2 linked regions of the Oryzias latipes genome follow. The protein of the gene in region 2 interacts with the protein of the main gene of each other region in a pairwise test. Links are inferred from orthologs where the notes say so. Each region holds a gene or a part of one and is shown on either strand. Other genes may lie near its edges.

The links.
Region 1: the proteins of cep72 (region 2) and pin4 interact in binary tests that used the Homo sapiens proteins (3 or more experiments, as listed by UniProt). The two-hybrid records come from large-scale screens. The link is inferred for Oryzias latipes from reciprocal best matches to the Homo sapiens genes CEP72 and PIN4.

What each region holds. Positions count from the first base shown.
Region 1 is NC_019868.2:20,374,600-20,378,353, reverse strand, and holds the start of pin4 (peptidyl-prolyl cis-trans isomerase NIMA-interacting 4), read left to right. Parts: upstream 1-1,566; 5' UTR 1,567-1,674; coding exon 1,675-1,711; intron 1,712-1,920; coding exon 1,921-1,988; intron 1,989-3,754.
Region 2 is NC_019874.2:16,684,562-16,688,315, reverse strand, and holds the start of cep72 (centrosomal protein of 72 kDa), read left to right. Parts: upstream 1-817; 5' UTR 818-909; coding exon 910-985; intron 986-1,135; coding exon 1,136-1,263; intron 1,264-1,443; coding exon 1,444-1,636; intron 1,637-1,718; coding exon 1,719-1,827; intron 1,828-2,155; coding exon 2,156-2,307; intron 2,308-2,384; coding exon 2,385-2,443; intron 2,444-2,525; coding exon 2,526-2,568; intron 2,569-2,930; coding exon 2,931-3,131; intron 3,132-3,386; coding exon 3,387-3,568; intron 3,569-3,683; coding exon 3,684-3,754. Other genes in the region: uncharacterized protein LOC101162471, read right to left, coding at 225-308. UniProt on the Homo sapiens protein: Involved in the recruitment of key centrosomal proteins to the centrosome.

The sequences.
Region 1 (3,754 bases), on a different chromosome or scaffold from region 2:
TATTGATTGTTCGAGCCGGTCTGAGTCAGCACTTCTATGGCAACCACTCTCGCCAAACAGGAGTTTCCCCTAACACTCAAAAGTGGGCTCGGGAAAATCTGTAAATCAAAAGTTGCATCTGATTGGTCAGTGTATAACTTGAATAACTTGCAATTAAAAAAATATATAACGAAAGAAAATAGGATGGGCAAAAACATGTTTAAAAAATGTATCAGAACAAGAATGGTCATTCTGACCAATAGAATGACTGAGTAACAGCTATTTATTTCTCAATAGAAGGCTATGAGATTTTGGCTTCTTGGAGCCAGCAGGTACTTCCTGTTGGGGGGTTGTTCATTCAGTCTAGTTCTCAGTCAATGTTTATCATAGATCATCAACGTATTTTAGAAAATCTTTCTTTGCTGCCCTGCTGCACGTCATATATTTAATCATGAAGAACTAGTGTGATAAAAAGGCAATGATTGTGAAGCACAGGTATTTTCATTTTTATTTGTCAATTATTCTTTGGTCCTGGTTTTTATGAAACATGTTTATTTCAAGACAAAAAAAATCTAAAATATTTCCCCTGGTAGGAATTATGCAATTGGGCAAAAGTGACTGCAAGAAAAAAAAATTTGTTCCAGTAAAATATGGTTTAGGTTACTCACTGCATTGTTTCTTTTCATTGTTTCCTATCATCTGCTTGTTTTTTTTAATAATAGTTTTTCATCATCATTGCTTCCTTCGGATAGTGAATGACTGCAGGAAGACAGAGGAGGGCATCAATGTGTCATCGAGCAATGCCCCAATCAATGAGACTACATGTGTGAAACACTTGGTGGTCTGTGAGTGTGTGCTAGACAGTGTGGTTTTTACGGCACTGTCACTAACGCTTGAGTGTGTATGTGCGGGCTTGACAATTCTGTGAACCAAAACAGTAGAATATTGATATTAATAAAGGAAAGGAACTCTGACATCAACGTTTTTTTTAAAGATGGGGAACCACTGTTTTTAATCACTGTGTGCAGTGAGAGACTGTCAGGTGTGCCACGGGAAAGGATTCAGTTTCACATAATTGGTCTAAAAAAGATTTACCAGTGTCAGAAAATTATCTTTGTCTTTATCCAAACAGGTTCAGAGTTTAAAAGAATAATGAAAGATTACAAGATACTTATTTTCTTCATGTTTATTTGATTCTTATTCAAGATTATTTTATCAGAAGATTTGTATCCCGTTAATACAGACTAAAGAGTTTATTTTACTATCCATTTTCAGTTGGTGGTGTGCTTTGTGATTTTTTATCAGGGAAACAGTGGACCTTGGCTGAAAAAAAAAAAGAGTTAAAAAAGCACTGAACTACAGAAGACTTTGGGGGGATTTGTTTTTTTTTTTTTTTGGGGGGGGATTTGTTGACACACAGTAGTATATTTAAACACTAGTGGTAAAATATTCCCTGTTTTCCTGACAGTAAATGGATTTTCCTGATCAAGAGGATTTTGTTCCCTGCTTCAACCACTAAGCTGCTGCAATTCTGAATTTGGCCACCAGGGGGCAGGGCTAAAACTTGATCGTTGCGATTTTCAACTAATATACCAAAAGAAGAAGGAAATCATGCTATCATAACATAGCATGAGTGTACGCTGCTATCAGTTATTCAGGTTCTTTACTGGGTAATTCTGTTCTGTTTTATGTAAAATGCCGCCAAAAGGGAAAGGTGGTAAGGGTGGTAAAGGTTAGTCGTTCGTAATAAATCCCAAATTATTTTGATGTTTGAAAGCCCGCATGTTTTATACAGCATTAATTTGTAACCCAATCTTTCTTTCGTCTTGTATTTATTATTAACAATAAGGCTTTCCGGTTGCTTCTTCTGAAAGTGATTCATGAGTGATAGTGATAGTGTCAACTCGCTGTTTTCATGTTCTGGTGATGTATTCTGTGTAGGAGCTGCTGCAGGAAGTGCAGATGCCGAAAAGAAAGATAAGGCTCCCAAGGGTGGTACTTCTGTGAAGGTAAGCAGAACCTCAGACTCAGTCAAATCAGGGGCCTGTTTCAGAAAGGAGGTTCAACCAACTCTGAGGTTGAACTTGAACTCCGAGTTGGTCAATCGGGAGATTAACAACTCTGAGTTTTCTGTTTCAGAGAAGCTGATCCGAGTTAGATCAATCAACTCTGAGTGGACTGATTCGGAGTTAAGCGTGCGCACCGCGTCTATAAGAAGCCATTATCAATGGAGCGCAGATATCACGAGTCACCATGGCAACCGTGAAAAAAAGAGGTCTGCGTATTTTTCGCCAGCTGAACTTGACGTGCTGCTGCAGAGTTACAGTGAATATGAGCACATATTATTCCAGAAGAAAAGCAACACCGCTGCATCTGCAAAACAGAGACAGTTAGCGTGGGAAAACATAGCTGCTCAAGTTAATGCCTAAGTTTGCATTTAAATCATTGTCATAAAATATTGACTGTAATAATTTTTTAAATAGCGTACGGTGTGAAATAAAAAATGGGGATATTTAGGTGTACTTTTGAAGTGTTATTCCTGGTGTAATTGCATGAAATGCTGCATAGTGTACAGAACCAATCTGGGGGAAAAATGCATTTAATGTCGGTAATGTTTAGAGGACTTTCTTGTTAACCTCACCCTCTTGCAAACGTTGGTCAGTTTAATATTAATACATGCAATTGTGTTTTTAAAAGTGAACTTTTGTCTACTGTTGAACCTTTCGCTGCGCGAAGACTTCTCCTTTCTTTTCTCTCGTCTTTCCGACCGACCGTGCGAAGGGAATTCTCCTTCGGGGTTCACTTCCCGTTGGAAACCCTCAACCTCCAGAGCGGATTAAGAATGACTCCAAAACAGTTATTCTGGGAATGACACCTTCTCTTTATTTAACTAAGTGCTCCGTCCTCCGAACACACAATATATCCCACGCACACACCTCCGCTCCGTGCCCCCCCCCCCCCCCCCCCATCTGCACCTGCAATCGCCCCTCCCCCTGTCTATCGTGGATCGCACCCCGCTCAGCACACACACACTGCAACACTACCCTTGTATTGATCAAGTGGTATAGGTTTATACGGGATTAAGAAAGTAAGCAGTGCTAGCAAATTGTGTTTCCAAAAAGTAATTGTTACATTAATCTAATTCAATGTCCCTGATTTCATTTTCATGTAGATGCAATCCTGCAGGAATTAAAAGAACATGGCAGCAGCTAAAAATGAGGTATAAAAACATAAATCAATCAGGTCAAATTTGAGCATGTCATTGATGTAGGCTTTGTTGACAATATTTGACATATGAAACATCTACATAGCAATACCTAATGTTGTTTTCATTGTATATGTGGAATTGACTGCAATGAAAAACGGTAACGCTCAAACAAAAACGTATGGGGAAATGACAAAAAATCGAGTCATCTCAAAATCCTCGTACAAGGTAAATATAATTCTCTACGAATTGATGCAGCCTCCTCGTCTATTGGGTCCTCCAAAAAAGAACAAGCCATTCTTGTCACGTAGACCGTCTCTGTGTGACGGAAATTTGGGCAATGAAGGTTAAAGCGAAACATACCGCTTCGTCTTTAAAAAGGGGAGGGGACCGGCAGAAACTTCGAGTTTGGAGAATAAAACCTGCTCCCGACCAGGTTAGGTTCACAGCGTAAGTAACCATGGACACTGACTCCGAGTAGAAGTTACCTCTCTTTCAGAAACGGGTTTGACTTACTCTGCTTTCTCTGGTTTAACAAACCTCCCATTCTGAAACGGAAAACCCAGGGTT
Region 2 (3,754 bases):
GAACATGAGATTATAGTCTGTTTAATATATTGAGAATTTGTGACCATACTCTTAAAGGGAAAACATAAACACACTGATGTTGACGAAGGCAAGCATAATCAATTTTATAAAAGATTACTTTTTAGTAGCTGGTGTATTATAAAAAAAAGCCTCATCTTTATTGAAGTATACTCTGTTTATCAAAAAGCATTCTACAAGTTTTAAATATAAAATAAGAGACGAACCTTGAAGAGTTTGCGTGAAAAGTATAAAGCTGTGGTGGACAGAATGATGTTACTACAACATGCCATCCACTCTGTTGACGCCATTCAGGAAAGCGCGCCGGAACACAAACCTGCAAACACACCGGAACTAAAGTGACAATATTTTTACTTAAAGTTCAAATGAAACTACTGACGCTGCCCCTTTTTATAACTGGACTGAACAGAAAGACTAAACTTTGGGGCAAGGAGGAGCAGAACAATGTTTGTGTTCACACGTGACAGAATGTCTTCAGAGCACTGCGCATGCTCCAAAGGAGGCGTTCAAAGTCCCTTGTAAATTCTGAGACGTTGTCAACCATATTAATAATGATCAAACTAGCAAAGATCGGTTAACACTTTTTGTTAAACGTTATTTATTCTTGTTTTATTGGAAATATAATTCTTTGTTTAAAAAAAACATTTTAGGTTCTGTCGAGTAAACGAGTAAATCGTTATTTTTAGGTCGCTGTTAACTACTAAAAAGTTACCATTTTAAAGAGGGTTTTGTGTTAGTGTGTGACATACTCATGCGACAGAGTATTTAACTGAATTTTTTCCTCATAAATTTAAAACTTTACTCCGTTGCACACTGACTGTGTTATTTTTGTTTCTTTCATTGAAGTCGTTTTTTCACGACAGCACTTGAAGGCAGCAAAGTTTGAAAAGTATGGCGACGGAGTGTCTAACAACAATCTCAGAGCAATGGATACGCGACAGATTACAACTAAAACATCCGTGTCTCGGTAAGAGTTTCATTCACCTGTGCATTGGAAAAACAAAAACCCCGCGTAAAACATTTTTTCTGTCTGACTGAAAGCAGATTAGCTATTCAAAGCTATTTTATGATGAACCGTCATCTTTTGGTCATTCATTGTTGTGTGTTTGATGCGCAGGTGATGTCCGGTCACTGAGCCTCCCAGGAACGTTAGAGGAGAAGATTGGACATCTAGGGAACGCTCTGAATAACTTCATTCGCCTGAAGTCTCTGGATCTTTCCTACAACGCCCTGGTTTCTGTGGAGGTTTGATATTTTTAATTTTTCTTATATTAAGAAAATACTTTATACTATAAAAAAAAGTCTCTTCAGAATTTATATTAAACTGATTTCAAATCACAGTCATTTTTTTTATTTTATTTCATGTGACTATTATTTCCATTGTTGGATGAATGCTTACAAATCTGGTTCCTGTTCTTTCTTTAGGGGCTGCAGCATTTAAAAAAACTGGAGAGGTTGATTCTTTATCATAACTGCATACCATCTCTTGAAGAGGTGAAAACTCTGTTCCAGCTTCCTGTTTTAAGAGAGCTGGACCTCAGGCTCAACCCTCTCACCAAAAACTGCCCACACTACTGGGCTTATATCGTGCACGCCTTGCCCAGCTTGCGAAAGCTTGGTAAGCTGGAGTCATCTGGGCCTGTTTTTGTGACTGTTTTCTGTCAAGTTCCCGACATCGTAATGAGCTTTTGGGTTTGCAGACAGCTGCTCGGTCAGAGAGACGGAACGCAAAGTTGCCATCATGCAGTTCTCCTCTGATCTTCCTCCTCAGCAGAAGAGATGCTCTCTGAATCTGGCTGAAGATCAAAGGTACGCCGAGCACAAAATCAGTTTAATGCACAAAACCTTCTTAATGCAGGCTTTAAACACCAATCTGGTCTAAATTCAGAAACTGTATGGAGCTCAGATGATGGAAATCCAGCGGTATATTATAAAGCTGCAATACACACACTTTTATCTCAAGGTTTTTTTCATCTTGTTTCATCCTTTTGTAATAAATCTATTCGTTAATTTCCATCAAACCTGCTTTCTTAAACTAGCTTGTTATTGAAGCCTGGAAGCATCAAATATGTGGTTTTTAATGTATATTTCAACCTTTTAATTAGTTATTTCTCTGTTCTGTGCCTGTTGCTGTCAGAAGCAGCAGGTTTCGTCTGGCTTTGGTCGACCGTTTGACCAAGAGGCTGTCACTCTCAGCAGAAAGTCAGGATATTGTGTTAAACAGAGTCGAGGCTGACCTTGGAGACCAATCTAAAAGAGTCAGCGACTCCGTTTACAGGAAAGGAGAAGGTAAGGACCCTTAAAGGTAATTTTTAATCACACCAAACCTGCTGACGTTCTTTCTTCACGTTGAAACCTTATTCTAGAACCCAAGGAGGAAATATTACAAAATTTCACAGAGAAGAAGAGTTCAACTCCAAAACAGGTGACTTTCTTTTTCTCCATGTCTGATTAAAAAAAAATAGTCACCCTATGCTTGCATGAATGACGGCACCCTTTGCTTGTAGGAATCTACTAAATCCATCCTCAGATATTCACCCAATATCAATGGTAAGTGTGTTTTTGGGTATTTATTTAATGATTTAATTATCTGTGTGTATATCAGAGCACTAGTAAGCAGATGGATTGCAGCAGTTGCTAAAGCAGCTAAAATGTATTTAAGTTGGTCTGAATAAGAGATTTTGTAAACCAATTCATAATGCATCATATTTTTCCCTAACATTTAAGGAAACAGTTCATGGCAATAAAAAGAGATTTTTGGTGGTGTTTGCCTCATTGTTGACTAACTATAATATTTTCAATTGTTTAAGCAGAAACATAAATGTCCACCAGGGAGAGCTAGATGTCAACTCCATAAAAATGTCTGACACTAAAAGATGAAAACATATTTGTGCCTTTCTGTGAATTTACAGATGTTGTTGTATCCAGAGGGCTACAGATGAAGGAGACACCTCCAATGAAAAACTCTACCTCATCTAAAGTAGCTGAAAGGCCTAAAGTGTCCTTCGGTCCTTTTGTAGAGAAACACAGTGCAGACAGAGGACTTCCAAACCAGAAGCTGTCCTTTAAACAAATCAGACACGAAGCTAAGGGCCATTTTACTCCAAACCCTGGTTATATATATATATATATATATATATATATATATATATATATATATATATATATATATATATATATATATATATATATATATATATATATATATATATATATATATATATATATATATATATATATATATATATATATATATATATATATATTTATTTATATTGTGTATTTAACAACTGCTATTTATTGTGGAATTTTGCCAAAGTTCACATTCCTCACTTCCTTGGAACTCTGAATGTACATGACTTTTTCAGATCAAAGCCAGTGTCGTAGCACCTCATTGATCAACATCCGTCCTGCCAGTCCACTGCAACCCGGTTTGACTCTGTCTGAGTCCTCTAACCCCATCTTACACCCTGCAAGACTCACCTACTCTAGCATCAACACGGCAGACGGGAGCAGCAGCCTGAAACAACAAGCTGGAAGGAAAAAAAGGGTTAACATTCAGTTCAGCTCTCCGACTGATTTATACTCTAAATCATAAACCTTTCTTTATTTATGCAAGGATCTTTTTATAGAAAACTTACAGCCTCTGCGAATTCCATTCTCAGGGTACTTACCGGAAGCCCCTGGAGATGCTTCTGAACCTCGTTGACAAACACTGGAGGGGCGAGAGGTCACT